4 linked regions of the Alligator mississippiensis genome follow. The protein of the gene in region 1 interacts with the protein of each later gene in a pairwise test. Links are inferred from orthologs where the notes say so. Each region holds a gene or a part of one and is shown in the gene's direction. Other genes may lie near its edges. The genes, in order: PRPF40A, CCNL1, HNRNPUL1 and UBQLN4.

The links.
Region 2: the proteins of PRPF40A (region 1) and CCNL1 interact in binary tests that used the Homo sapiens proteins (3 or more experiments, as listed by UniProt). The link is inferred for Alligator mississippiensis from reciprocal best matches to the Homo sapiens genes PRPF40A and CCNL1.
Region 3: the proteins of PRPF40A (region 1) and HNRNPUL1 interact in a two-hybrid assay, tested with the Homo sapiens proteins (2 studies listed by BioGRID and IntAct). The link is inferred for Alligator mississippiensis from reciprocal best matches to the Homo sapiens genes PRPF40A and HNRNPUL1.
Region 4: the proteins of PRPF40A (region 1) and UBQLN4 interact in a two-hybrid assay, tested with the Homo sapiens proteins (2 studies listed by BioGRID and IntAct). The link is inferred for Alligator mississippiensis from reciprocal best matches to the Homo sapiens genes PRPF40A and UBQLN4.

Annotation. Positions count from the first base shown.
Region 1 is NC_081827.1:226,099,717-226,107,346, forward strand, and holds the start of PRPF40A (pre-mRNA-processing factor 40 homolog A), read left to right. Parts: upstream 1-4,626; 5' UTR 4,627-4,860; coding exon 4,861-5,214; intron 5,215-6,758; coding exon 6,759-6,896; intron 6,897-7,630. Other genes in the region: ARL6IP6 (ADP-ribosylation factor-like protein 6-interacting protein 6), read right to left, coding at 1,652-1,784, 3,786-3,839, 3,920-4,217.
Region 2 is NC_081830.1:66,221,875-66,228,706, reverse strand, and holds the start of CCNL1 (cyclin-L1), read left to right. Parts: upstream 1-3,812; 5' UTR 3,813-3,924; coding exon 3,925-4,209; intron 4,210-4,391; coding exon 4,392-4,466; intron 4,467-4,553; coding exon 4,554-4,663; intron 4,664-6,832. UniProt on the Homo sapiens protein: Involved in pre-mRNA splicing. Functions in association with cyclin-dependent kinases (CDKs). Inhibited by the CDK-specific inhibitor CDKN1A/p21. May play a role in the regulation of RNA polymerase II (pol II).
Region 3 is NC_081838.1:1,511,883-1,518,877, forward strand, and holds the start of HNRNPUL1 (heterogeneous nuclear ribonucleoprotein U-like protein 1), read left to right. Parts: upstream 1-3,990; 5' UTR 3,991-4,074; coding exon 4,075-4,243; intron 4,244-6,090; coding exon 6,091-6,225; intron 6,226-6,642; coding exon 6,643-6,995. Other genes in the region: phosphatidylinositol 4,5-bisphosphate 3-kinase catalytic subunit alpha isoform-like, read right to left, coding at 111-3,314.
Region 4 is NC_081838.1:17,229,259-17,237,045, reverse strand, and holds the start of UBQLN4 (ubiquilin-4), read left to right. Parts: upstream 1-4,786; 5' UTR 4,787-4,814; coding exon 4,815-4,946; intron 4,947-5,625; coding exon 5,626-5,777; intron 5,778-7,787. Other genes in the region: ragulator complex protein LAMTOR2, read right to left, coding at 226-282, 1,061-1,150, 1,844-2,006, 3,350-3,442, 4,177-4,178. UniProt on the Homo sapiens protein: Regulator of protein degradation that mediates the proteasomal targeting of misfolded, mislocalized or accumulated proteins.

The DNA of each region.
Region 1 (7,630 bases):
AATTTAGAGAAGAAAACAAGTTATAATTGTTTGGCGTTACAGCTACTATATTCAATTTAAAATGGCTAACCAATAGACAAGGAAACAGAAATGAGTACAGCCTGAGGTAGTTCTGACAGATGACCGTTTCTAGCAAGGTTCACTTAGTGACCCAGCAGCACAAGCTTAACTGGCTTTTTTTTTTGGTTTAGCTATTAAATGTTTATCTTCACATTATTAGGGTAATGTAATAGGAGAATAACAAAGCTTTACACCATACCTACTAGAGGTGCATGGATACATCAGTTCATATTGTATCGGCACAGATAAAAGGAAAACTGACATTAACAGCAATAGTCTTTTTCTGGCTGAAGTGGCCAATAATGTTACTAATAAATGCCACATGTATGAGTGCAGCTGCAGCAGGAATGCACACAGCCAAGAATGGAGCCCAGCAGCTTGGAAAACTGTGTGCAGCTGGTAAGTCTGTTGGGGAAAGGGGTGGGGGGGGGCAGGGGAGGGCAGATCAAGGCCTCCATGGTGAGGGAGTGGGGCTGGGGCAGGCGCTGCCCAGCCAGGGTGGGGCAGGCATGGGACAGAGCCAGCGACTTATCTGGAAGGCAGCTCCCATCACTGGGAACCCCCAGGGGAGGCATAGGAGGCATGTGCCTCCCTTCCCCCAGATCTCTGCAAGGTGGGAGGGCAGGCTGTCCACTGCAGGCTTGGGGCCGGGGCTGCTCCAGCCTCATCCCAGCAGCTGCGCTTGGGTTGGGCCGGGTGAGGCAGGCAGTGGTGCTTGGAGGAGGACTAGAGGTAGAGGGGACTAGAGCCACCCCAAAATTCACCATAGCCCTCTGCAGGCCCCCCTCCCAGCACCGCTGCTGCCTGCCCCACCTGACCCGAGTACAGCTGTTGGAAAGAGGCTGGTGCAACCTGGCTCTGAGTACGTAGCAGGTAGCCCGCCCTCACCCCACACACAGATCCAGGGTGTGCAGTGGCAGGAGCTGTCCCCCCACCCGATGAACCTACAGCTCCGTCCCACACCCCATCCCACCCCAGCTGCATGCCTGCCCCACTCCCTCCCTCACTGCAGGGGCTGCAGTCTGCCCCCACCCCACCCCTTCCCAACAGACTTACCAGCTGGATGCTGCTTTCCATGCTGCTGGGCTGCATATTGGTAATCGGATTGGTACTGGCTGATCGATAATTGGCCATCAGTATTGGCCCAAAAAATCTTTATCAATGCATCCCTAATAACTATTCTTTCCTCTCTGTTTGTTAAATGCTCTTCTAACAACAAATCTGATGGAGTTTTTCCTTTCCAAAGCAATTACTTGAATTTAACTCAAATTAAACTAGAAGGAATTTTCTCTCTTGGGCCATTTTTCAGTCTCAATATTTGTTATCCTTACAGATATCTCCAAAATGTGCAACCTCAACAACAGAGCTAGTAAGACTGAATGAACACAGAAAGTGAACTACTTACCCAGTACCAGACTACATGTACATAGCAAAGTTCTGTATGCAGTTTCTCATTTTCTCCATATTAATGAAACCCCACGACCTCATAAGCATGAAGCTTGCAGTATTCCTGATTATTGTCTTGTAGTTAACTAGAATGCCCATCCAACCCTAATCCTGGCATTGCAGTAATGGTTTGGTAAGAACTTACTTGAATCGTGCAGGTGAAAGCGGAGTTGGGGGAAACATTCCAGGTTCAAAGGAATCAAAATATGTCACTGTCCAAGAAAAGCTGCAGCATGAGAGCCCTGCTGTCAAGGCTAGAATAAGCAGACCCCAAAATCCTTAACAAGGGATAAAAAGAGAAGTTTATGTAAATAAGTATGAGAACACTAAATTACAACAGATTTTCAAAGAACTCAGCTTCACAATATAACATAATGATTCCACATTCCTGAAAGAGAATGGTATATCTAGTTCTGTGTTGGTATTATTTTTAGAGGTGAATAAAGAAAATTGACTGCATCAGAAATTGGCTTGATTTGGCCAATAAATGCCTCATGCTTACACACAGCTGCAGTGCAGCATGTAGGCAGCGAGGATCACAGCCTGACAGCTTGGAGAGCTGTGCACAGCTGGTAAGTCTGCTGTGTTGTGGTGGATGGAGAGCAGAGAGGGAAAGGATGTGTGCGGGGAACAGATCAAGGCCCCCGTGGTGAGGGAGTGGGGCAGGGAAGGACAGGACAGAGCCGCAATCAGCTCATCCAGGGGGCGAGTGGAGGGGGGGGTATCAGAAATCAGATCAGTATCGGCCAATAAGCCTCCTTAAAAATCTGCTATCAGTACTGGCCCCAAAAATCTATTGGTGTACCCCTAATTATTTTTAAACTATGAACATACACAGTAGAACCCAGATACTTTGTAGAATCAGGTTCCTTGCCCACAGCAAAGATAAGGGTCCAGCTGTGCACAACCACTGAGGTGCTCGTTGTTGGCTGGAGTTTTGTTTCAAAGGGCACTGCTTTTCCAAACCGCTAGAGGACCACTAATGAACCCTAGCTGTGTAGAGAAGCAGCATTCTTTGAAATAAAAGCTGCAGCAAATGGTTAATTCCACAATCCACTGCTAATTAAGAAGTGGCAAACCACCCAAATGGAAATGAGCCAGGCAGTTTTGTATGAACAGAGCAATACCTATATTGGGGTATCTATTGCAAGTGAACAAATACTGGTAAAGAAATTAAAATTAAGTCTGAAAGTCATGCTTCACTAGGGTGTTGAATTGTGGTCACAAGGATGAAACTTGATAGGGAAAAGTCTACACGTCCTCACTGCTTTAAGATTTGGAATCACTTGAAATCATAAGTAGATCTTTGCTTCAATTTCTTAAAAAAACAAAAAAAACAACAAAAAAAAAAAAATTCTGGATCAGTTAGGCAAATGTTATATTAACTGTTTTAGAAATTAAGTCAAAATTCATTATAGGCGCTATGTACATTTTAAACTTAAATGCTTATTTCTCCAATTTATATTCTCATGTAAATACAATTTCATCTGTAAACTCATTCTACCTTTAAAATGTGCATCCTGTACACATCATACCTTTTAGAAAATGGGCACATCTCAAAAGTAATTATGTTTAAAAAATGATGTCATTCGTGATTATATGATGCATTATGACTTTCAGATTTCTTGCAGATTACAGCATGGATTGACCACCCATGGCAAGTGGCACAGAGCTCCTGTGTGTTGCATGCGAGCCCCAAGCAGAGTAAAGGGAGGTACCTAAACCAAGGTAGGAATGCTGCAAAAGGTGTCCAAAATCACCAGCAGCTGCCACCACAATCATTTCAATGTTTAATATCGGACCCACAAGTCAGCCAACTTCAGCGGAGGGAATACTGAGAAGGGACCGAGTCAGCAGATAACCAAGAAAACAGCGATAAAACAAACATCGGGTCCTTACAAGAACCCTGGTTTCTTCCAAGAGTTATAATTGCTTTTCTCTGCCAGCTGCGCACTTTGAAGTGTTATCTGAGAAAAATTTAAAGCAATTTGACTTCTTTTGCTTAGCTTGCACCCGTCCACCTATGATTCAGCAGGATTCAGAAAGCTCCTAATGGGAGGGAGCAAGACAGGCTGGTTTGGGGGATCATCCGTCTCTTGCTAAAACTGAATCTCTAACTCTACCTCCTGCCAAACAAGGGCAAGTCCAGGATCCCCATTTTAAAGGCTGCACGGAGCAGTGCCAGTCCCCCCGCCCCCCCTCCGGCGCGTCCCAGGACAACTAAGGAGCACCATCTCCAAGGAGGCGCGGGGCAAAGCTTGCGGCGCCGCGGCTCGTACCCAGCAGGCGGGTCTCCGCGGCCTCCTCGCTCTTCTCCTGCTCAGCCTGCAGATCTGCGGAGACAGGCAGCGCTCAGCACGGAGCCCCGGGCACCCCCCGCCCCGCCCCGCCCCGCCCCGCCGGCAGCGCTCACCCCTCAGCACGAGGCCGGCGAGGGCCAGCAGCAGCGCGAGGATGCAGACGGCCACGAGGCAGCAGAGCACGGAGCAGGCCCGCGCCGGCCAGCGCTGCGCCCCGTTGTGCTTGTGGCCCGGGCGCGGCACCCCGGACCGGCCCGCCCCCACCCCGACCCCCGCCTCCTCCTGCTGCAGCTCGGGGTACAGGCTTCGCATCACCGCCCCGCCCGCCGCCCACGGCGTCTCGGGCCCCGCCGGCGCCGCCCCCCACGGCGCGACCCGGCCCCGCCGGCGCCCGCCCAGCGACAGCGACATGGCGGCCACGCCGCGACAGAAGGCGCGAAACGCGCGCGGCGGGAAGGGAGGCAGGAAGGAGTGGGGGTGGAGCCACCACTTCCCTGCCCGGCCCCCACCAATGCGCGCGGCGGGGGGGAAGGGGTGGAACCGCGCGCGCGCGCTGACCCGGAACAGGAAGGGCGAGGGCGCGTTACGGCCCGTACCACCTCGCGGGAGGGGGGGGGGAAAGAGAGCCAGAGCGCGGCTCGCGCTCAGCATCTACCAACCCGCGCGCGAGGCCGGGGGGGGACGGGGTTTCCGGGGATGGGGACAAAGCCAAGCCGTTAGCAGAGCGCCGCTTTCTCCACCCCTCTTCTCAAGCGCGAGTGGTGCGTCCCGCGGCCCCGCCTCCTCCGCCCACGTGACCACTTCCCAGCGTTCCCCGCGCGCGACCCCAGCCGCAGCGCTTTCCCCCCGCGCGAGCTCCGAAGCCCAGCGCGAGACCTACCCCACCTCCCCCCCCCCCGGCGGCAAGCGGCCCAGGCCGGCGGTACCCGCTTCCTGATCGTCTCGTCGGCGGCCCGCGCGCCCCAGCTTCACGCCCGCGCTTCCTGGTGCGGGGCCTAGGCCCGCTCGCTCCCTCCCTCCGAGGCCCCGCGGGCCGGGCCGGGCCGGGGCCGCGATGTCCGGTGGGGACTCGGCGGCGGCGGCGGCAACGGCCTCGCCTCAGCCGCTGCCGTTCTCGCTGCCGAAGCCGCCTCCCCTCATGCAGCTGACACCGGGGGATGCCGTGCGCCCCGTCTCCGCCGCCTCGGACCAATCGCCGAAGAGCGGCCGGCTCGGCGGCCGCCCGGATTGGCCGACGGGCAAGCCTGTCAGCCTGCTGGCCCCGCTGCTCCCGCCCCGCGGGGAGCCCGAGCCCCTCATGCCCTTCGGGCCCTCGCGGCAGCAGCTCCGGGGGAGGCTGCTCGGCCGCTGCAGCGGGGGCAGTCTGCTCAACCCCTCGATGAGGCCGGGAGGAGACCGCTCTCTCATGGTGAGTGAAGGGTTAAGCCGGGGGGGGTGGGGCGAGGGGGAGGGACCGTGGCGGGACGGTTCCGCGCACGCCAGCCTCTGTCCTTCTCGGCGGCTGTTGAGGGGCCCCTCGGGGGCGAAGGACCTCACGTGACTGCTGCGGGGGCGCCTAGTGCTTGGTCCCGGGGCCTCGGCTCTGCTGTCCAGGGAGGGCTTCCCAGTGTGGGGACAGACCCTCCCACCTGTGGGGAGGACAGGAACAGGTGCCAGCCCTAACAGGGGGGCACTCATCCCTCTCCCTCTCTGGCTGTCCGTGTCAGGATGCAGATGGGTGACTCCTGCCCTGCTGCCAGGCTCAGAATTGCTCAAGAGTTCAAAACTACTTGACATCATCTCTGTTTTTGTTCAGTTTGCACCTCTTTTGTCGCCAGCTGAAACTTTCCCAGTCGCGCCTCACTTGTTACCCAGGAAGGGGTTCCGGGATCTTGGCTTAGTATTGCAGGTTGTTCGGCACAAGTTACTTCTGAGAGTTCTTCTCAGCGGGAGCTGGGCTCAGAGTGGGTGCTGGCAGCACTGGGAAGATGCTGCATCTATCCCAGGTTTCACTGCTGCTCTACTCCCAAAACTGCAGCCGCCCAGCTCAGCCCCATCTCAATGCCCTGCCTCCACCTACGTACTGGGAAGAGCCAGGGCTGCACGGGCTGGCTGGCTGGCAGCGGTGGCAATGGGAGTGGAGCGATGGTGAAATTTGGGATGGATGCAGCATCTTCCCAGTAACACTGGCATCCACTCTGAGCCCAGCCCTTGCCAAGAAGAGCCCTGTGCAGCCCTGGCTGCAACCTGCCCTGCCCTGTGCAGATCTGGGGGACATACCCTCCCAGGGTGCAGACAGCTGTGGGAGCCTGCCCCGCCTGGGCAGTGCCTGACCCTGCCCCCAGCTGGAGGCAGCTTTGTTGGAAATTGGATCAGTATCGGCCAATACGCCTCCTTAAATATCAGCTATCTGTATCAGCCCCAAAAATCTCAATCAGTCCACTTCTACTAAAAAGTTTAATGTCCATAAAAAGCCCTATAGTTATGGTTGTTTTTAGAAAATGCATCGAGAAATAGACTGCAGCTAGTATAGATGCAGAAGATGTTGTATTAACTATAAACTTAATCATAAAAAGGAAGAGATTTTATAATCTATCAAATGAGTTCCATGACATGTGTAATGCTTTCATTGAGCAGTCAGAGCCATGTGTGAAAATATTTTTATCCTTTTGGTTTGTTGGATTTGTGCATGCTAATTTGCAAGTTGCGGGAATATATTTTTTTTCCATTGTTTTGGAATTTTTAGCTAGGTTTGTTAACTGTACATTTTTGACAACTTATGGTAGTTATAGTCCATTCGTGTACATCATGAATACATAAATGCTTTGATGTAGTGAATTTTCTACATATTTTCCTCAGTCAACGCTAAACTGGCGTGTAAGGCAATGTTTGTATATCCATTGAGATATTTCTGTAATTTTTGCATTTCATGTTTGATATCAATATTTTTCATTTATTAACTTTGTCTTTCAGATGGGTCACCCAGGCATGCCTCACTATCCACCCATGGGGATGCACCCCATGGGCCAGAGACCACCAAATATGCCACCAGTTCCACATGGTATGATGCCTCAGATGATGCCTCCAATGGGAGGACCACCAATGGGGCAGGTAAGGCCGCTTATTTGACTTTCTCCAGAATGATCAGAAATAATTTAGACTGGTAAGTTTCTCATTCCTTGGAAATCATGATGCTTATAATCCCGGGTTTCTTGTATATCATTTGGGTCCTACAGATACTGTTTCTACTATAACAAATAATGAAGCTGCTTTTTGATTTCAAATTTTAAAAGAAAAACAATAGCCCTATATTGGAATCTGTCACTCGAATCCACCAGTTATAACGCTGATAACTTAGACAATTCTCCTTTAGTCACACAAGAGAAGTAAGGTGTATATAACAGCATATAGTTATAAATCGCGAAAAATATGGAACTTAATTCTAATAAGAATCTTCAGTTTCTGGAGGATTTTTCTTTAACATGATGCTAAGCAACTCTCATAAACAATGGTAGAAAATGACAGGAGGATGGAGAGAAGAAATATAAAATTAATGTTCTCCTGACTTTGCAGGAGTTTTCCTAGCTGTATCTTGAGGATTATTATATGCTCTTGTAATATGCTGACTGTGCTAGTATAATGCAAATCTTAAAAAAAAAAATTACTGCTCAGATTGGTTAGCAAAGGAACATTTCTGAGATTTTGAACTTCCTTTTTTAAAACAGTGAATGTTCCTGCCGTTTACGACTGCTAATTATTTTCTGAATTTAAAAACAGGCAATTCTCTTCCTCATTTTCTAGTTCTAGTGCAGCTACTAGTGAGCAAAGCCTCCCTAAGCAGAAAT
Region 2 (6,832 bases), on another chromosome or scaffold:
GAGATCCTCCCAGTTGTGGGCCTGAAGAGATTAAGGACAGGCACTGGAAATATGTCCTGAAAAGAATAGGGTCTTCTTTTGCTTTTCAACCCAATCTGTATCCCTATAATCTTGCGAGGTCCCTTCCAGCCCTAATAACTATGAAATCTTATCACGGGAATAAAGGCCGTGAGGATTAATTCAGGGCAGGGGGGAAACAAAAGAGCAAGCCGTTTGCAGGGAGAAGAGGATAAGTTTGATCATCGCTAAGCTTTTCCAAAGAAGTGATTCTGGAGCACCAGCTGTGGCTGTGCAAATACATGGCTGCGCAGTAATTGGGGCAGCCCACAGAGATGTAACTGCTTGCCCTCGTACATGTTTTACTGAGAATGTATTTCTCGATTCTGGAACAGTTGCTTAAAAAGAAGTGTGATCCTCCCTGCTCTGGGGCAATCCTGGGGTTCCTAAAGAACATTTACACCAGAAAGGTGAGGTTCATTCCAGATCCTCCTCAGGTGGCTGCAGAGCTCTGAAGTTGCCACCTTTGAGCAGTAGGGAAGTCAACAGTATAAGTGATTGCAGTCATTTCCACTGTATAATAATTCAGTCAGAGACTGCTGGAGCTTGGGAGAGGATCAGATCCTTGTTATTAAAGAAGCATTAACCATAAAGTGATACAACTAGTTAAAAAGAGGATTTGCATTCTAGATTAGAGTCAGTGCCCTAATGAGTTGTGCGCTTGAATTGCTATGGTTACTTAGGTACCTGGTAGACTTTAAAACACGATTAACCAGTTAATTACATTTTAAGTAGTAACCCAGCCACAGGTTAATACAATTAAGGCACGATAAAACAAGGAATAAACCACAAAGCTATTACACAAATACGTTATTGTTTCCCATGTGCATTAAATTTAAGGCAATCCAGGCATGAGATAATCAATGGGCCCCTGAGGCTGGAAGTGGCAGTCAGCTGGATGGCTTGACACTGTCTGGATATGACCCCTGATCCCACAATCATGCCTCCTGCTATGCACATATAGCAGGACAGGAGGCATGGATGTTGGGATTGTGCATCAGATCTCCTCATGCCTTTGCCAGAAGCCTTGACATACCAATTAGAATCTGTACCGATCAATCGTATTACTGGATGAAGTCCTTATCCGACTTAAAATGACCAAAGGCCAATTGGATCATAAAAATGCAGTATTTTTAACTGGTTTGTGAGTAATCTAGCATCTGACTGGCTGCACCAAACAAAATGCATTCAAGCCAGCCAGAATGCTGCTGGTGACTATTGGGGTATTGAACTGTCACTCTACTAGATCAATATCCATCACATAAAGTACATTAGTTGCTTGGTAAAAAAAAGTCATAAGATGACACTGGTACGTGATTGATGTTTTCTTGCCTTAAAAATAAATAGTTGTAGCTCTATGTATACGTAGGAGAAAATGACCATTTATTATAAGAACATTGCAGTCTTCTCAAACAATATTTATGCCAAAAATACTTGTTTAATTAGTTGAATAACAGTAATTTAGATGTTTAAATGTGTATTTGGTTTATCATGTTTCCTAGAACTAAATAAAGATGGCTAGAACAGTCAATTCAGTCTCTGGTATAAAAATATATTTTACAGATTTCTGTAAAAGTTTGGGGTTTTACAAGCTAACGCTATTTGAAAATAAGGAAATAACAAACACAAGGTGGAATAATTTAGGCTGTGCCAAACCACCATAACCCAAATATATTCCTTCGGTGGTCGTAATACAAGTTCAGGATACAAAGGCCTTATGTTTTGACTACATGGTGATGACACTGTTAAAGACACAATTCCTTATTACACACAGGGTTTCATGTTCCATCTTTGGCCATGGTAGAGTTCATGGTACTGTTGGATGACACAGTTATTCTAGGAAATTATTCTAAGAAAAATCTGTTGGTGAGAAGTATTGACATCAACATACACTAGAGTTAGTCCTTACTTTGGTTGTATGTTCCCATGCTTCTGTTAAAATTTATACTATGACTTTAGTGTTTTTTAATTGCAAGTTTTCTAAACAATTTTTATGTATTCTAAATTTTTTTGTATTCTAATCTTTATGTATTTTATGTATTCTAGCAATTATTATGTATTCTATTTTGTACTTTATTAATAAAGTCAAAGAGCAAAGAACTTCACTTGAGGACCCAATATGAAATATTTACTGGTATATCAAACAGTAACTACCTCTCCATTTAAAATAAGTTGCAGCGCTATAATCTAAAATGTGAAGTTAGGCCAGTGCAAACCCCTGCATGGATACTCATTTCATTTTGAGTAGTTTTCAGTTTCAAATGGCAACTGGGAACAGCTTTAGTTTAAACTAGATGAAGTGACTCAAATGAGTGTCTACACAGTGGGATTTTGCAAGAGTTCAAGTAAATCATTTTCAACCAATGCAACCTCTTCAGATGAATATGGTCTACTCTAACTAACTTCTTTCCTTTGCTGTTATACGGAGTACAATGCCCTGGTTAGCTGCCATTTTTCCCCAAAGCTCGGCTGCTTCAATAGCGTAATGGCCTAGTAGAGTTTATAAATCGTTTTGTGATGAAAAGCAGCATAATAAATTCAAGTTATTGCTCTGAGTTCCCTCCCAACCATGAAAGCCATCAGACAATCTGTGTGCAGCTGTGGATGTAATAATTTCCTTTGCTTCCACAGAAGAGAGAGCAAACAGAACTATAGATGGTTGTGGCTATAAACATTTCCTTCCCCTTTCTTGCACAATGACCCAGCAGGTCTTTACGTACTTGTATGTTCTCTTCCAGCCCAAGTGGGAACTTGGGGGTTTTCTCTCCTCACTTTAAAGAGTAACCCAATCTGGTTGGGTTGGAGGCAGCTTTGTGTCTGGCTCCCCTTGTGGGGCTGCCTAATTCTCATGCCGAAGTTTCATAGCTGGTAGGGACAGAAGGGACCCAAGGAGATCATCTAACAGGGCTTGTGCTGGAGTCCAGACAACTTGATTGTCTCGTGGCTGATCGTCCTGGACTTTGACTCCCATCGAACAGTATGAGGCTGAAGTTGATTCCTTATTCCCGTGTCCTTTTTCAAAGCTAATTCTTACACAATTAAAGGATCATAATAATGAATTACACAAACTAAAGAGTGTTTCATCAAAGATGTGTATTTACTAATAAAAATGTAAGATAATCACATACATAGCCCTAAAAAAAAGACCTGGGATTAGGGGGCAAAGTCACTTTCAGGTCACCCTCAACACATCCGTACACCACTGGGGGACAAGTCTATACTTCTGAGTAACAGAGCAGGGTGCCGCCCAACCCCAAGCGCGGAAAGTGCCAGTCTGCTCACTGATGGCCCCCGAGGCCTGTGTGCCATGCACGTCGCACTGAAGAATGAGCTGGGTTTGGACGCGATGGGCAAAAATCCTTTGTGGGTCACCCCAAAGCCCAAGCGGACTCCCCCCAAGAAGGCTGGGCAGAATCCAAGGCTTCGTTTCTGCATGCCGTGCTCCCAACTTGGAAGCCCCCAGGCCTGAATAAAAAGCTAGGTTTGGGCTGGGATTGTGGGTGGAAATCCTGTGCACCTCCGAACATTCAATCCTCCCCGCCCCACCCCACCCCGGGGAAGCCGGCTCAGAGCCCGCAGCTGCGGCCGCGCAGCCAGCCCGGCCCAGCAGCGCAGCGAGCACAAGCACTAGAGTCAGCACAGAGGGGGGGGCTGTGCGCGCCGCCTGCGTCACCCGGGTGGGGCCACATGCGCATGCGCAGAGCCAGGCCGCGAGGCCAGAAGGGCAGGGGGAGGGGGACTCTTTTTTCCCAGCGCGCCCCGCGCGGAGGCGCCGCGGAGTGCTGCGTCACGGGCCCTGCCGGGCCGGGTCATTCCCTGCGTGGCCGCCGCGCGTGAGGATCGTGCCCGCGTCTGCGCCTACCGACCATGGCCTCCGCCGCCGCCCTGCCGCCTCCGGCCGCCGCTGCCGCCGCGCCCGCAGCCCCGGCCCTCGCCCCGGCCCCGCCGCCGGCTCCCGCCCCGGGCATCCTCATCGGCGACCGGCTGTACTCGGAGGTGTCGCTCACCATCGACCACTCGCTGATCCCCGAGGAGCGCCTGTCGCCCACGCCCTCCATGCAGGACGGGCTGGACCTGCAGTGCGAGACAGACCTGCGCATCCTGGGCTGCGAGCTCATCCAGGCGGCCGGCATCCTGCTCCGCCTGCCGCAGGTCGGTGGCGCCTGGGCCTGGGCCGGGGCGGCCATTGTGGCGGGCGGCGGGTGGGGGGAGGGGAGCGGGCGGGCCGGTGCCTGACACAAAATGGCGGCGGCGGTTGCGGGCGGGGGGGAGGGGTGCGCGCCCGCCGCCCGCGGCTGACCCGGCCCCGCTCCCCCCGGGGCTTGTGTTGGCAGGTGGCGATGGCGACGGGGCAGGTGCTGTTCCACCGCTTCTTCTACTCCAAGTCCTTCGTCAAGCATAGCTTTGAGGTAAGCAGCTGGGCGGTTGGGCCGGGCGGGGGGGCGGTGTCTCTGCCCATGGCCCCGCGCCTCTCACGGAAATGGGCTTCTTTGCAGATTGTAGCCATGGCCTGCATCAACCTGGCGTCCAAGATCGAGGAGGCGCCGCGCCGCATCCGTGATGTGATCAACGTCTTCCACTACCTGCGCCAGCTCAGAGCCAAGAGGTAAGGTCCGCTCTGTCTCCTGTGCGCCCCCCCCTCCCCCGCAGCCGCGGAGGTTTTCAAGCCTGCCAGGCGAGGCGCAGAAGCGGAGAAGGGAGTGACCGTAGGCAGTGACGTTCCCAAAGCTGGCTTCCATTTGTGCCATTGCAGGGATCGGCCAGGAGCAGCCTAGGCAAACCTTGTAGCTACATGCTGGATACTTGCAGGAGGAGCCCTGAGTGTTGGGTGTAGTGTAAGAGTCTGTCTGTGGCTAATTGGGGGTCTGTAAGTCTTAAAAGAAATCCTGGATGTGAGTAGTGGTTACCCGGCTGGGTTGTACGTTCTCTTCTTGCCTGCTGAATCCTTCATGCAGGTCTGGTGTCACTCTTGAATTAGGGTCTTGTTAAAGCACTTAATCCCCATGTGGCTGCAGTAGACCGTATATCAGGTCTTAAAAGACTGAAGCCTGATAAACTACAAGCCCATCAAAAAAATATCATAGTGTGTAACTAGGTGGTGTAATTTGGCCTGTAGCACACGCAGCTTGAAAATGTATATCTTTGCTGTCAAGTACCTAATTGGCTGGAGGCTGAGTGTACCTTTAATTACTGGAAGGGAGACTGGTATTTTTATGGTGTAGTGCCATTACGTAAGTTAGAGAAGTTGGAATGTAGTCACGTGATGATGTTTGCGTTCTGGGTGATGCTGCTTGTTTTAGGTTTAAGTCTGTTTTTAGCTGAGTGCTTATTTTTTTTTGGCTTTTCTTGTAAAGCCATGTGTGTTCCTGTGTATAAGACCAGTTAACATGATATTAAAAGAGCAAGGAATGTGTTTTTGAAGAGAAGATATTCTCTTAATAAACTGATTAAGGCAACACTTTTTCTTAAAATTTGGCTTTTAAGCCGTGTTGCAAACTTTCTTGCAGTGCTGGTTTTGAATAGTTTAATTAAACATCAGAATTTTTGTCTGAGAAGTTCTGTCTAGCTGTAAAAGAGAATTTTTCTTTGTCTTGTCTTACAAGGTAAAGGGGGGATTCAAAGAGCGAGAGAGATTCCAAAACTTACCTTTTTGAAATAGATTGAAATAATTGAGGGAAAGTAGTTACATTTATTGGTGCACTTATTTAAGTACTTAATCTGGCTACAGTTGTGCCTTGAATTTAAACTTTTCTCTGCCACACGCTTACCTCTTCAAGTCAGTTTTACTAAAAGGAAAATTGACTACTGTTCTTTTTTCTTATTTGAATGGAACCTAGCTTTTAGAACAATCTTGTACTGGGAGGATTCTGCAAAGTTTATTGAGCTAGTACGTTGTTATATGGTGGTATGTTCTTACCATAATTACCATAGAAGATTCTGCTTGACTGCTAAAATTAGTTTTAGTTCTCCTTAATATCTCAGGCTTAACAATGAAAGTTAATTGATCATATAATAATGTCTTTATGGTGAGAATGCAAATTAGTTGCTTCTGTAAGCTGCTAAAGGATCAAAGAAATGGAAACTTAGGTATCAATGTGACACTTGGAAGATAGATTGTTCCAGATGAGAATGTCACTGCATGCCACATGGTGTCAAGCGCGCATCATGTCTAAAGAGGATCTTGTTCTCTTATTGACCCATTTGTTATCCCACTTCTGGAGAAATGGGTATCGTCTTTTAGATTCTGAGAAGTGAATCTACACAAAACTGTTCTTTAAAAACCTTAAGTCTGAAATTCAGACTTGCTTTTTTTTTTTTTTTTTAACCCAAGCAGGATAAACATTTTTCTGTACTTTTTACAAGCTTATTACATAAGCTGTACATGTTATTAACTTCAACTCTTTTTTCCCTTGCAACCGACTATACAGCGACCAGCTACATTTACCAAACCCTGGGTGATGTGGAGTGGTACATAGAGATGAAGCTGTCGTCATGGCAACAGTGAGTGAAGTATCGAAAATCCCCAAGGAGAAGCCAGTGCTCTGAGAATAGGTCACTGGAATCGGGGGACTAACAGGTTGGCCGCTGGTGAACCATTTGGAAGAACTCCTGTATCTTGTTCTAAGCCTTTTTCTTTGCTGTCCAGGTTTTTAGAACATTTGACACTAACATTTAGGTTGTAGTTGTAGTCTTTTTTTTTTTTACACAGACACAGGATTTATTAAAACAGGTTGCACTTAATTCTCACATTGCCTTTAGTTTCATATTTTTTGCA
Region 3 (6,995 bases), on another chromosome or scaffold:
CTTGCTATAACTTCTAACGTCATTCGTGGTTTGTGTGACTCCAATCCAACAGGTGTTAGCGGCGCAGCCCTAAAAGCTGGCTATTGGTTTTGGTCCTCTTTGCTTTCACTTCAGTTCAAGGCATGTTGCTTTATCGTGTGGAAGACCCAGTCCATTTTTGTCGTCCAGCCGCCGTAGTGAGCATCGTTCATCTGTTTTGTGAAATAGTCCAGAGCTTCCTGCTCAGTTCTGTCCAAGGCGAGCGTCTTTCGAACGTAAGCAATGTCATCAAAAGACTGCAATTCCGGTATGCCCGAGCCGAGCATCATGGAGAAGAGATTGATGAAGAGATTGGCCTGCTGCCGAATTGCTAAGTAAGCTTTATAGCACATCTCTTGAAACCTTTCAAACTCCCGCGTTTTGGTACAGTCTTGGTTTCCTTTACTAATCACGAGTAAGAAATCTTGCGTGAGGACAAATGGCACGCGCTCTCGCTTGTAGCCAAATTTTTTCTTCTTGTGATCCAGGAAGTGCCCAAAATCGATGTGAAACAGCTGCCCGTCATCCTTCACCATGATGTTGCTATTGTGACGGTCACCGATGCCCAGTATGAAGGTAGCGACGCAATAGCCGGCGCAGGAGCACGTGAACAAGTCGATCGCTGCGTCGTACGCCGCTCCTTGGTTCTTGTCTTTGAGCCACTGATGTAGCGTGTGGCTGCTGAACTGCAGCGCGCCCTTTAGGCCTCCTTTGCACTGAATCTGCATGATTGTATAAGAGCTTCTGACCACCTCGATAAGGCCCACGCGGTCGCCGATAGACAAACAGCCATAAGGCAGCAGCCGAAGATCAAGACCTTCCTTTTGCCAGATGTTTTCCATAATTCGAATAATCTGAAGCGTTAGCATGTCCTGACGTAAGTCATCCCCGTTTTTAAAGATGATCTCATTGTTCTGAAACAACAGTTCAGCCATAATATCTGGGTTGTCCCAGTTTAGCCAGAGAGGCCTTCTTGCAGAGGACATAACCCTGCACTCCTCAAGCCTGAGGTTCCCTAGCCGAAGGGCAGGGTTAAGAGGAGAGATAAAATCTTGCAAAGCTTCCATGAAATCTGGTCGCCTCATGTGTTCAACGAGAAACTTCATTTGTGCCTTCGGTGCTTCATCTTTCTTCTCCTGCTTGAGAATATCAGTAAGGTGAGTTAGTTTCTCCATGGCTTCCACCTGCCTGCGCAGGTGCTTTAGGTACATCCCGCATGCGCGACAGTAGGACTCCAAAAGCAATCCAAATCTCTGCCTCACACTTGTATTGTGCATTTCAGACTTTAAATGCCAAAAGAAAAAATGTCCTATTGTTTGATTGGTCAGTGCTTTCTGGAGCAAAAATCTCCCCAGCAGATTATCTAAGTATTGCTCGTATTTCAGAACCTGTACCAGCTGGATTAAGTACTGAGACAGCTGGTCATCGGTCAAGCACTTCTCCAAACACTGAATGGCAAACGATCGCACCACAGGATCAGGATAATTACAGTCCAAAAGCTCCATTGCCTGTTCTGCCTTGATTAGGGGCCAGTCTTTTATCAGGCAATACATCTGGGCTACTTCATCTCTCGAGTTCCATTTCACGGACAAAAGCAGCTTGGGCAGAATTTCTGGGATGTTTCCACAACTATATCTGTGGCTCCAAAGAAAGTCCTTCTCTTGCTCAGTGATTTCGGAAAGCGGGTCTCTTGCGCTAAGTGCACGGAGTTGTTCTTTGTCGCTTTCTCTTACTTCAAAACCTTTAGCTAGCCTGTTAGTCAGCTCCATACGGCTGTAGTTACACCCGAGTTCCAGAGAGACAGCCCTGCTGGCATGGTCTTCAATCACCGTCATGTCTGGAAACTTGACAGGGCCGCCAAAACTATCAAACTCCAGCTCTAGACACGGAGTTTCCTTGCTTGGATTGGACCCAGTCATGCCAATAGGATTCAGCAGATCTTCCAGCCCATGTGGCACTGGCCACAGACTCAAAGCCATTTTCCCCGATACGAGAGTGTGCGTGTAATCAAACATGTTCACGTTTCCCCAAGCCAGTGGGCAATGTTCCTCTTTCGCACCCCTCCTGCCTTTGACAGAGCAGAGGGAGAGGCAAAGGCGAGCGGCACGGGGGAGATCAGGAACGTACAGGTCATACGACAGCCATTCGTTCCATCTCGGACGGCAACAAGGCACCCTTCGAGTTTTCACGTTGTCGCATAACGGTTCACCCCCGTGATAGATACCCGTTCGGACGTATATCTTGTCCACGTCTCGTGTATTTACATTGACGTACGTGGCACAGAAGATTCTTATTCTGAGACCACTGTTTATAGACCAGAGGGATTTGGCGGAAACTTCTGCATTCGTGTACGGGGTAGGCGTAGAAACACCTCTGGGACAAGACGGGATGGTAAAGCTATCCGACGGCAGCCGGGCATACAGGCTTTCTTTGGACATCAGCATCAGGTTGGGCACGAGGCCAACCATGATGCAGTTTCTGATGTGCTTATACTGGCTGAGAGGATACCTTTCTAGCAAGTATTCATCACAGCCGCACACTTTTAAAACGTACTTATCCTGGTACTTCAAGACGCGGCGTTTCAGTTGCTCAGGTGACAGCGACGCGCTTCGTGTTTGCGCCCTGACTGCTTCGGCGATCGCGTGCTCGGGCACGCAGTCATGGCTGATTTTTACGGGGTATTTCTGCTTGTTATTCAGGGAGGCTACGACCCATACGGCCACTACCATTTGCCCTTCGTCTAGCTTGTCGTACAGGGGCCGGGGCAGCTCAGGCGACGCGTGGACGCGGGGAGGCCAAGCGTACAAAGCCCGGCTGCGAGGCGCGTCGGCCCCTCGCCGCTCGGCGGCCTCCCGGCAGACGTTCAGGACGTTCCTGCGGAAGTCCCGCACTTCCGGGTCCCTCGACGCCTCCAGCTCGCGGACGGGCGTGCCGACGGCCAGCCCGATCTCCCGGTTCAGCATCTTCTCGTCCCGGTCGCCGGCGGGTTCGACCACTTGGAGAAAGGGCCGAAAGAGCCGCAGGTCGCAGAGCCGCCGCGCCTCGTCGAAAAACTCTTCCCGGGCGGCGTCCTGCGTGACGCCCACGAAGACGTAGCAGGCGGCGTCGCGGAGGAGGTGGGGAAGCGGGTATTTCCGGGCCTCGCGGAAGAGCCGGCGCTTCACGGACAGCAGCGAGGCCTCGCGGGGGCTCTCCAGGGGCACCAGCATCCCGTTGGGAAGGAGGCACTCGAGGAGGACGGTGGGCGGCATCGTGCGGGCGCCCCACCAGTCCCCGCAGGAGGGCACGGGCAACATGGCCGCCCTCTGGCAACCACCTCAGGACTGGGGCCGCGTGCCCTCGTCGCCCACAATGGCGCCCATGGCTCTCAGCCAAGGAGAGTGCGGCTGACAACGTGTCAGCAGGGCTGCACCAATAGGGAGCAGGCTAACACCCCGCCTCAGCCCTGGTTGCCAGGGCTCCGCCAATGGGAAAGGGGCAAGGAAAAAAAAAAACAACTTTAACTCGTGCAGGGCTCGGCCAATGGGAGGCACCCAAACAGCCAATAGGAGGCGTGTTAGCACGCTGGCCCCACCCACCAGGCGCCTCGCCGCAGCTCAGCCAATTGGAGGCGTGCTAACACTGGCCCCGCCCACCCCAGGCGCCTCCGCGCCCTCCAGCGCAGCAGAAGAGCGACGCCTGCTGCGATTGGTCCGCTGCCAGCCTCTTTCGCTGTCAATCCCGCCCCGCCGCTTCCCCCCAAGCGTCACCCGGGTTCCAGCCAACCGCCGGGCCCGTAACAACCCCGCGGCCGCCCCGGCCCAATGGGGCACCCCGTGACAAACCGAGAGCGAGCGGGAGAACCGCGGGCGGCGGCCGGGAGCCAATGGCGAGCCGCGTGACATGGCGGGCCGGCGCGCGGAGCCAATGGCGGCGCGCGTTGCAAGGCGGCCCGGCGCGGGGAGGGAGGAGGAGGGCGAGGGCGGCCATTTTGAGCCGGGGCCGCGGCGGGGGCTCCATGGCCGGGCGGCGCGCGGAGTGACGGGCCGGGCCAGGCCGGGCCGCGGGGCCGGGGCCATGGACGTGCGGCGGCTGCGCGTCAACGAGCTGAAGGAGGAGCTGGGCCGCCGCGGCCTGGACACGCGCGGCCTCAAGGCGGAGCTTGCCGAACGGCTGCAGGCGGCGCTGGAGGCCGAGGAGGCGCGACGCGGGCCCGGCGGCGGCGACCCCGCGCCCGACGGACACTGTAAGGGGGCAAGAGCCGCTCCGCCACTGGCCCCGCTGCACCTCCGTGGTGGGACCGGGGCCCGCGGTGCAGCTCCGCCATTGGCCCCCTGGTGCAGCTCCGTGCTGGGGACCGGGCCCCCTGGTGCAGCTCCGTCATTGGCCCCCTGGTGCAGCTCCGCGCTGGGGACCGGGCCTCCTGGTGCAGCTCCGCGCTGGGGACCGGGCCCCCTGGTGCAGCTCCGTCATTGGCCCCCTGGTGCAGCTCCGCGCTGGGGACCGGGCCCCCTGGTGTAGCTCCGTCATTGGCCCCCTGGTGCAGCTCCGCGCTGGGGACTGGGCCCCCTGGTGCAGCTCCGTCATTGGCCCCCTGGTGCAGCTCCGCGCTGAGGACTGGGTCTCCTGGTGCAGCTCCACTATTGGCCCCTGGTGCATCTCCGTGGTGGGACAGGCCCCCTGGTGCAGCTCCACCATTGGTCTCCTGGTGCATCTCCCCTGGTGGGGGGAGCTCCCCAGCGCTGCTGTGCTGTGCCCCCCGCCCTGCTGCACCTCCAGCAACAAGCTCTGACTTGCAAGTCTGTGGTGGGGGCCAGGTACCCCAAAAGGGTCACCCGCGCTCTCTTCCTGTGGGCCTTGGCCACCGGGCCCCCAGGCTGCCCTGCGGGACAGGAGCCGGGGCAGCCCACGGCATCGCGGCTCTGCTCCGTCACCCTGCTGCAGAGGGCCGGCCCGGCGGACCTGCCCGGGCATGCGGTGGGGATTGTCCTGCTCACGTTCTGTCTGCCTCCCCCATCCCGTAGCGGAGCTGCCTCCCGGCCGAGCTGGTTTTGTGCCGTGGGAGTGCTGAACCCACTCAAGACCCTGGGAGCCAGGACTTTTTTGGGGGCCCCCCCAGCCTTAGCTGCAGCAGTGGTGGGACGCGACACGCTGCCTGCCTGCACAGAGGAGCGCACGCCGGCCTCAGGGGCCTTGGCAATAGGGGCTCGCCGGCTGCATGGCTCGTTTCCATACGGAGCCGTGCGGCTCCGGGAGGGGAACGCCAGGGCAGGTCCTCCGGAGATGAGCCCGGGGGTGCTGAGGTGCCCCGTTTGTGTCCTGTGCTGGTCTCCAGGCACCTTTGGGGCGCCTCAGCTCGCGGGTGTGCCCTCCGGGCTTTGTGGAGGAGGTGGCGGCGTGAGGCAGAAAGTTCCCCGGGGCGATGGATCCGACGGCTCTGCTTGAAAGTCGGGTGCCTGCCCAGAGTCCGGCGGGGGGGCTGCATGTGGCCCCCCGGTGCAGCTCCGCGCTGGGGACCGGGCTCCCCGGCACAGCTCAGCTGTTGCTCCTGTCTCGAGCCGGGCTGGTTGTGCTGGGAGGTCTGTGCGCTGGCAGCCCCTCGAGGCCAGCGTTGGTGTGTGTCCCGCGTCTCCGTCCCCTTTTCCTGCCGTGGGGAGCCGATCACCCCCTGGCTGCTTTGGTGACATTGTGTCTCTGCGCCGCCCCCCCCACCCCGGCACCTCCCTCCCGGCGGATCCCTGGTATCGGGGGGCCTACACCCCTCACTGCTGCCTTGCTGGATGCTTTGCTTTGCTTGCAGGTTTTTTGGGTCTGGTGGGTTTTGGCCACACCAGCTGGGGGAGCAGGCAGGCAGCTGGATCCTGCCTCTGCTGGGTTTCCCCTGGCTCCCAGCCCTGATGAGCATCACTCCCAAACTTCCCTGCCCGGAAACACCCCCAGGGACCTCGGTGATGCCTGGCCGGTCCCTTGTCCTGCCAACCGCACCGCGCTCTGTGCTGGAGCCTCCAGTGCAGCTCCACGCACCCCGCCCCAGTGAGCGGGACCCACAGCTCCCTACCGGTTCCCGTCTTAAGCCACGTCTCTGTTGCGCAGACGACATCGACAGCAACACTCACCAGAGCGACCACCAGGGCTACCAGTCCTTTGAGCATGGCGCCGTCAGGCAGGAGAATGAGTCCAGCTACGAGCGGCGGCCAACAGAGACGGAGCATCCTGGCCTGCACCCAGGTAGGGACCAGCCCGCCAAGGGGCCTTTGTTGGCGGGAATTGGTGGGGCGGGGGGTCCCACAGGTGCCTGGCCCCTGCCCCTGGGAGTCTCCTTGGCCATGGGGAGATGTGGGCTGGGTCCTGCCTGGCAGCTGCCCCATGGTTCCCTGCCCCCAACTTGGCACCTTTGAGAAGCCTCCACTTAGGGCTTTCGAGTGTTGGGTTCTCCAGTATCCCTTGAACTCAGCACCAGCCCTGCCTGGCCCTTGTTCCCTGAGCTTGCCCTGCCCACCCCCCTGCAGCAGTTTGGAGAGACCCCCCCCCACCCCCCTGTCACCCTCAAAGACCTCACTGAGTGTCTGAGGCTGTCGAGGCATCGCTGTCAGGCTGCACCCAGCCTCTCCAGCCCCCTGACGCCGCCTGTTTTTCTGTGCACAGAGATGAAGTCGGAAGTCAAGCAGGAAGACCCCACCCCCGGCTACAACCTGCCTCCCCCCAGCTACAACGCCTCAGCCCCCAGCTACAACATACCACCCCCCGGTTACAACCCACCCCCTTCTGGCTACAGCATGCCCCCCTCTGGCTACAGTGCCCCTGCCCCTGCCTACAGCGTGCCCCCAGCTGGCTACACTGCACCTGCTCCTGGCTACGGCGTACCCCCACCAGGCTTCAGCGCCCCTGCTCCTGGCTACAGCGCCCCTCCTTCTGGCTTCAGCGCCCCACCGGCCAACTACAGTGCACCTGCCCCTGGCTACAGCGCGCCCCCAGCGAGTTACAGCACCCCTGTACCA
Region 4 (7,787 bases), on another chromosome or scaffold:
GAGGCAGCAGATGAGACACAAGCAAGAGACTCCCTTTGAAAGTTTTCATGTTATTTTAATGCAGTATCAAGACGCTGGAAGCTGCCACCGTTGCTGTTGAGCCCAGATGTCCCCGCAGAGCCGTACATGCCGTGCCACACAAGCTCACTGCTGCTACAGTTCTTGGTTAAAGGGCTTCTCACTGCGCCAGCTCCATCCACACGCCACGCTGCCCCTCCTGACTCCTCAAGAGGCTGCCACTTGTGTGAGTGGCTCTTCCAAATACTGGACCAGCGCCTGGGCCTGTTGGGAGAGATTAAGATGTAAGCCGAGCACGAGGGTCAGCAAGTAGAGCAGAAGCAGCTCTCAGCCTGGATTAGCTCTACTGAAATCTAGCCTCTCTGCCCTGGGCCACTGTACTGAGAGCAAAGTGCCTGTATTTAGGTGCATACCACAAGCTCCCACAAATAAGTGACAAGTACCTTGGTTTAGGGAAAGCAGGATGAAGCGGGGGGGGGGGGTGGGGGGGGTGTCCTTTTAACCCACTTGTTCAGTAGAAGATACTCCCCTGATAGGCAACATTCAGGAAAGGTGAGTGCATGCTATGTGGATCAATATGGTAATGTTCCCTCCTTCCCCTCCCATTTTAAAGCAGGGGAGACTGAGGCATGGTGTCTTGCCAGAGGCCGTGGAGCTGAGCACAACAGAACCACTCTCAATTCACAAGCCACGACCTACCTAGAAATTATTTTTATGGCTCCCTGCAACACTCATAACCCAGACTATAGGCCACAATTTTGATGTTCCTTCAGAGCCAATTCCAGCATCACGCAGGGGCTTTTAAAAGCTTGTAAATACTAATTTCCTCCTGCGCGGGAGACACCCTTTAGAGAGCTGGAAGGTGCTTCCAGAGGCCACCTTAAAGCAAGAACTAGTTTCTGTATTTCCTACATAAAATGCTCTTTCACCAAAGGTCACATTGCTGTATTCTTCAAGTCAGATCTGTACTAAACATGCTCTTCACTGTGCAGCGACACAGCCATTCTCAGCTCCTCCTCCTGCCCAGGGAGCTCAGCATTACCTTGGCTTTCAGCATCCCAAATCCAACAGTCTCTTTTGCGTACATGCACAGCAGCAGATTTGCCACCCGGGTGATGGCAACGCGGCCCTCCTGCATGGTGAGAGAAAGCGGGGAGGGGAACAGAGCACTGAATCCACGTTTGCAGAGTTCTGCCCCAAACCTGCTTCTAGGGGTCTGGCTCGCGGCATCTCGAGGCCCTGCTCTCCCTCATCAAGATACCAAGGAGTCGTTGGGAAGATAGCGTGGCAGAGGGGTTAAGGGCCCTCGACTCAGATTTTACTCCTGTTTTGAGAAGGGCCTGCAAAGCAGCCCAACCAGGCCCTTCCCCTTTCTGTGCCTCAGTTTCCCCTCAATCTGCAAGACTGAGGCTGGCCTGTCAAGTGGTTTGAGGTCTACGGATGAAGAGTGCTCGATGCTGCTACTGCCTGTATGCAGTCCTTTACGCTATGCCAAAGTCAGGTCACACTTGTAAGCCTGGGCCTTGTTTTAGCTGATGTTTACACACCCACACCCTTTACTCCAAGTGGCAGGTGCAAAGTGCTCCCCTGTTTTGATGTTCTACTTCCCAACAATTAGCATTTCCATCAGGGAGATCTCAAAACACTTGAATAAAGCTCACTGGTCCCCACAACAAGGCACATACCAGACCCATTTTACAGATGGGAGAAACCAAGGCAGGAAGAAGCCACCCACTGGGTGCCAGGATCTCATGTTCAAGCTGCCTGGGTTTATCCCACCTTCCTGCCAGGAGTCCACCGACACCCCCACCCCCAACCCAGGTACCATGCAGTCCATCAGGATGAACTTCAAATTGTCTTCATTGAAAGCCTGGTGCCCATTCTTGTCATAGGCCACCCAGATGTTGCTGGCGATGGCAGCTGTGACCCTGGCGTCTGTGTCTCCGTAACCAGAATATGCCAGCAGCGAGCCCTCGTTGTTCAGAAGCCTGGAAAGGAGATGCAGGGAGGAGACAGACTTGAACCCCCATATGCACAGCCCCCAGGGTCCCACGCAGCCTCTCCAAAGTCACAAGTATCCCAAGTGTGACCCCTCCACCCCAAGAGGGAAGTAACCAGCACCCTCCCCTCCCTTTAACACAATACCACCCAGGCAGGTTATACCTTCAGCTGTAAGTGCATCACCCCATGTGTGAAAGAAGATCACCGTCTTATTATTATTATTCAAGGCCGAATCCTTTCCAAATTCAATCGTGAAAGCCCAATAATCAAGTATCAAGATTCAACTGAGCAAAGCTCAATTGTCAAGTCTGCGTGACTCTACCACTGGGCAAGTGTCCTCCTTCCTGGACCTATCGGTCTGGGGCTTCAGAAGCTCCCCAAATCCAGGCAGGCATCCTACATAAAAGCTACAGAAGCCTTGGGGTTTACATTATAAAAAAAAAGAGGGTGGGAAGGGACCTCAGGAGGTTACATCTGGTCCATGTCCCTGCTGAAAGCAGGACCAGCCCCAACTACATCATCCCAGCTGAGGCTTTGTCCAGCTGGGGCTCTTAGCCATAAAGAAGATCGGCATCTACCCAGCTCCAGGCAACCTCACCAGCTCCAGGACCCGCGCCCCTGATGGTATGTTTTCTTCCTGCCTGTTGCAGCAACCTTGAAATGCAAGGAAGCCAAGGCATCTTTGGCTCTGGGGTGCAACTGGGGAGGTGGGAAAAGATTCCTATGCCCTTAGCTTTAAGGCTGTTGGTTGTAGCCGTGTCGGTCTAAGGACATAGGCAGACAAGGTTCTTTGGGTAAACGTGTTATCTTTTATTTGGCCAACGAAATAGTTGGAAAAATTGTTCTTTGCGAGCTTCTGAAGAAGGGTGTTTATACCCAAAAGCTTGCAAAAACAAATTTTTTCCAAGCATTTAACTGGTTGAATAATAAAAATCAATCAATAAATCAAATTTACCTAAAGAAACTTGTCTGCCTGTGCCCTTAGCAGTGTCTCACGTCAATGCATGCAAGAACGGGCAGAGCTGGAACGAGCCTGGTTGCACTTCAGCAAACCATGCACAGGCACATCAATGCAGCTAGTCCTGCAAGCTAGTGCCCCAGCCCCCCTGGGCAGGGAGAAGACAGGATTTAGGGGCTAGGCTGGATTACTGCTTTTTACGGCACACTAGGCTGCATTATATGGCTCCTGGCAGGGATGGAAACCAAGTGGTGCCTGTTTCTATCCTGAATTAGGAAGAGTACAGAGGAAGGAGGCTCAGAGGTACTGAGCTGTGCCCCAGGCTTTGGAGACCCCTTTCATCCAGCCACCCCCCGACTCCCCCATACTCACAGGGTGCTCTGGACCCCCCCGGTGTTGGCCTGGCTCAGCACCTGGGTGAGGGCTTTGGGGCGCAGCATGGTCACCACCGCACGGCTCTTGGCCCTGCAGCAGGGAGGAGAGGAAGGCAGACAGCTCTGAGCTCTGCTTCCCCATCAGCTGATGGCCCCTGGGCGCCCGGAGCAGCCTGGGAGCTGTAGTCCTGGCCTGGCTTCTGCCGAGTCAGGCCCACATGCGACAGGCGCAGGCATTGCATGGCCCTGCCAGCAACTCAGGCTTGCAAGGCAGCTGCAGGCAACCTCCAGGACAGGAGCTAGGCACATGGCCCACACAAAGATCTTGCTGTCCACCCCCCAGCCCTGCCAGCTCAGTTCAGTTTCCCTTTTTAAAAAGCAGAAACATTGCTTAGAGTTACCATATGTCCGGGTTTTCCCAGACACGTCCTCGTTTTGGGTCCTCTGTCCAGGCAGTTTTTTAAAAATATGAACAAATATCTGGGATTTTGCTCTACTCAGCATCATTTTTTTTTTCCCCCTTGGCACTTCCCAGCAAGGAGCTGTTTGGGGCTGGGAGGAGCAGGCGAAGGGCAATTGGAGGCAGCGCTAGGGGGCTGCGGGTTGGGAGTGAGAGGCACCAGCATGGCCTGGGGGTGGGCAGGGGCTGAGGGTCAGGAGCAAGATAGATAGATAGGCACACATACACTGAAATATATATTTCTATCTTAACAAGACCAAAATCCTGCTTTAACCCCATGGCAGGCACAACACGGCTGCATCTCCAGCACAGACGCTCCCAAACAGCCATGAGATCAACCCCCTTCGCACCCCACCGCTACTTACATTTGGGAGCTGGTGATGTGAAAACAGAGAAATGAATGCTCTGATTAATCCCCACATCCAGGTCAGCTTCCCTCCGGCCTGGCTGCAGCATTTTACAGCTCCTTTGCAACCGCCTTGAGCCTGGGGAAGGGGCGGTGGGTGGGTGTGAGCTCTCCAGCTGGCAGCCCTTAGGGACAATCAGCCCCTGGCTACCCAGAAGCTAGCCCCTTTTTCAGAGCAGCTTCTCCGTGCCTCAGTTTCCCCTGTGTCACTTACGGAGCAGAGTTGCGAGGATTGAGAGGGGAGGGGGGCTCATGGAGCTCAAGACAGTCACCAAGGGCCATGCATACCCTTCCCCACATCCAGCACGCCTCTCCCCCCAGGGGCATGCATACCCCCTGCACACAGCGTGCCTCAGTTTCCCCACCCAGATGCATGCATACCCCCATGCACACACACAGTGTGTCTCAGTTCCCCCCGCAAGGGGCATGCACAGCCTCAGTCTCCCCACCAAGCCCCTCCACTCCACCTCCCCTCGCCCGCAGTTCCCCGCCGCGCCGCCAGGGGGCGCCGAGCTCCCCGCGCCCCCCCCCGCGCCGCCGGGGGCCGCTCTCCTGGGCGGGGGGCGGGGCCGGGCCGGGCCGGGGCGGGCGGCCAAGATGGCGGAGCCGAGCGGGCCCGGCGCGGAGGGCGCGGAGCCGGGGCCGGGTGCGGCGCTGATCCGCGTCACGGTGAAGACCCCCAAGGACAAGGAGGAGATCGTCATCGGCGACGGCGCCTCCGTGCGCGAGGTGCGGCCTGGGCCCGGGGCCCTGAGGCGGGGGCGGGGGTAGGGCCAGGGCCGCGCGGGAGGTTTTGCCCCGGGCGGGGGGGTCGCCCCGCGAGCAGGCCGTGGCCGGGTTGGGGGCGGGGGCGCCGAGCCAGGACGCGGGGCTCGGGCCGGGGGGGCGCGGGGGCGAGCGGCGCATGGCCAGGCGGGCGCGTGTGGACGAGGCGGAGCCGGGCCTGTCCTCGGAGCCGCGTCTTCACGGGCGGACGTGCCGAGCCGGGGCAGCCTCCCGCGGACGGGATGGTCCTCCCGCGGCGCCGCGAGGCCGTCGGCTCAAAACCCGAGCGTCCTCGTGGGAGTCGGAGCCAGAAACGGGGCCGCCTGCTTCGCTCCGGCATGCTTTCTGCGGTGCCGGCCAGCGGCGATGATCCGGTGTAAACGGGGCCCGTAATCCTCGGCGTAGCTGCTTTTCACGTTAAGGCCGTTGCGCTCTGCTCTTGCAAAGCTCGCCTGCACGAGCCGAACGGGCGAAGGATGCACCGTCGCCCCCTGAACCACCTCAGAAACCAGCTCGGCCCCGGGGATGCTGCCCGGTGTCCTTCGGACCGCGCGAAGGCTTGTTCCCAGCGCTCCTGTAGCCTCTCGGGCAGACTGGAAAGCGCCTCGGCCTGAGAATTGCCTCCTTTTGTCTTTGTCCCTAGTTCAAAGAAGAAATCTCCAGGCGGTTTAAAGCCAAACAGGATCAGCTGGTTCTGATCTTTGCGGGGAAGATCCTGAAGGATGGAGACACGTTGAGCCAACACGGGATCAAAGATGGACTGACTGTGCACTTGGTGATTAAGACCCCACAGAAGTAAGAAATCGTCCTTTCCCGGGGTTTTAGGAAATGACGCCGCGTGTTTGTGAGTTCCTGGCCGTCAAGCGTACGAGTTCAAATTCGGGGGGCTGCGGGACTTTGCTCTAATTGGGTCTTGGCTCCCGGGCTCCTGGGTTTCATAAAGCTTTGCAGAGTTGACGTGCTTTGAAATCTTACGAGTATTAGTTGTTGCGTGTAAGAACCTATTAAAGCAGGGATTTCTCCGGGTGACAGGGCGGATATGGAGATTATTTCACTTGCTCACAGCCATGTGAAGCCAAAACCTTGCGCTCCAGGGTCCCCGTGGCTGCGGGGTCCGGCCGTCCTGTGCGCTGGGAGATCTTTCAGCAAGAGGCGTTCAGTGAGTGTAGGGTATTATCAAGAGCACGTAACGACGTTTTTGGGGGTAACCTTTCAGGCAGACCAGAGACATGGGGTGTAGATCAACATACTGGAAAGCTGCTGCTGGGTGACTCTTAAGTTATAGTTGTCTAATGATTCCTGGTGCCGTTGCCGCGTTACAGATGCAAGCAGGCCTCCTTGTTCCTAACGGCCCTTTCCCACCATTCCTGGGACTCGTCTTTCCATCTGAGCAGTGGGCGTCATTAAACAGGCTCACGCTCCTTTTGAAGCTGTGTTGTCCCCCACCAGGAGCGCCTCCTCCCTGGCTTATTAAAAATCAGTACCTCTTTTCTGAAGCCACACGAATTGTCAGCTACTGTTGGAGGCTTTTGTACAGAACAGTACCTGTGCACGGAGCGTGCTGATGCCATGCTGCTTCCCGCTGTCTCCGCGATAAACTTCAGCACTTGCAAACTGTCTCCTGGGGTAAACTAAAAACTGGCCCATCATTCATTTTTGTCTTTCTAATGGTCACCAGCATGTGTGCATCGCAGCCTTTCCTTCCTGTGCTGAGAGAGTCCAAGTGACCCTGATCTTTCTTCTTTTTTTTTCTTTATTAAACTTCCTATTTCCCATCTGCTTGGCTTCTCCCCAGTCTCCCTGACTGCAGCCGCTGCTGTGGTAGCAGCGAAATTAGTTTGTAAAATGCTTGGGATTAAAAATTGCCATGGAAAGTTCCATGGAGGCAAAAAAATCCTCATCCAACAATTTCTGTGCTCCCGGTAGCCGCAAGCCTGCTCCCTGGGTAGTTATTCTGAAGTATTTTTCCTAGGGCAAGCATCTCACAGCAGCTGGCTAGGCATGCTCTATTTCAGCTGCTTTTGGAGGGGAGGCTGAGCGAATGGAGGTGGATGGCAGAGAGATCTCGGCAGGCTGCAAGGGGAGAAAGGCTTTCAAAGCAGCTGGCCAGCTGTGATTTCTTTCCAAGACACTGCCCATCTGCAGTTTCAACCCCTTTAAGGGCCACCTCTGCAGATTCTCCTTTCCCAGTCTCATTGCTTTCCCCCCGCACTCACAGCTTTCCCATAAGGTTTTTGTCTCTCCTTTTAGAAAGGCAGTCAGCCTTCCTTTCTGCTCAGTGCAAGGAGCTACCTCCCTGCAGTCTGTTCAGGTACTGGGGGCAGCAGGTTCTCTTGCCGAGCGGGCAAGGAAGGTATTAACCCTTCTTTGTGGTTGAATGGCCAGTTTATGGGAAGGGGGCATCATTTGCAAACCACCTGATGGTTCCACATTCATAATGGCATTGATATGCACTGTAGCCCCCTTTTTCAGATGAGTTGCTGGTAGTTCCAGGGCTCATGCCCACCTTCCCATTGGGGATTGGGACTTTAACTGCTTTTGGGTTTTAAAGTGTCCTTTCCCTCCCATTGCTGTGTGAGAGAGAGAAATGAGGAAGGGAAACTAGCAAAGCTAGAACAGCTGTGGTAGCAAATGGCTTCTCACCCTGCCAGTGTGGGTGTGTCCTCTTAACCTTAACAAGCTTGCTCATGGATCTGACTAAGCTTGGGTGCAAGTTTCTGCAGCATCAGGGCCTTGCTTCTCTCCCATTTCTACTTATAATATGCCCTGTTGGTTGAAGAGAAAAGAACATGAGAAAGTCAAGCT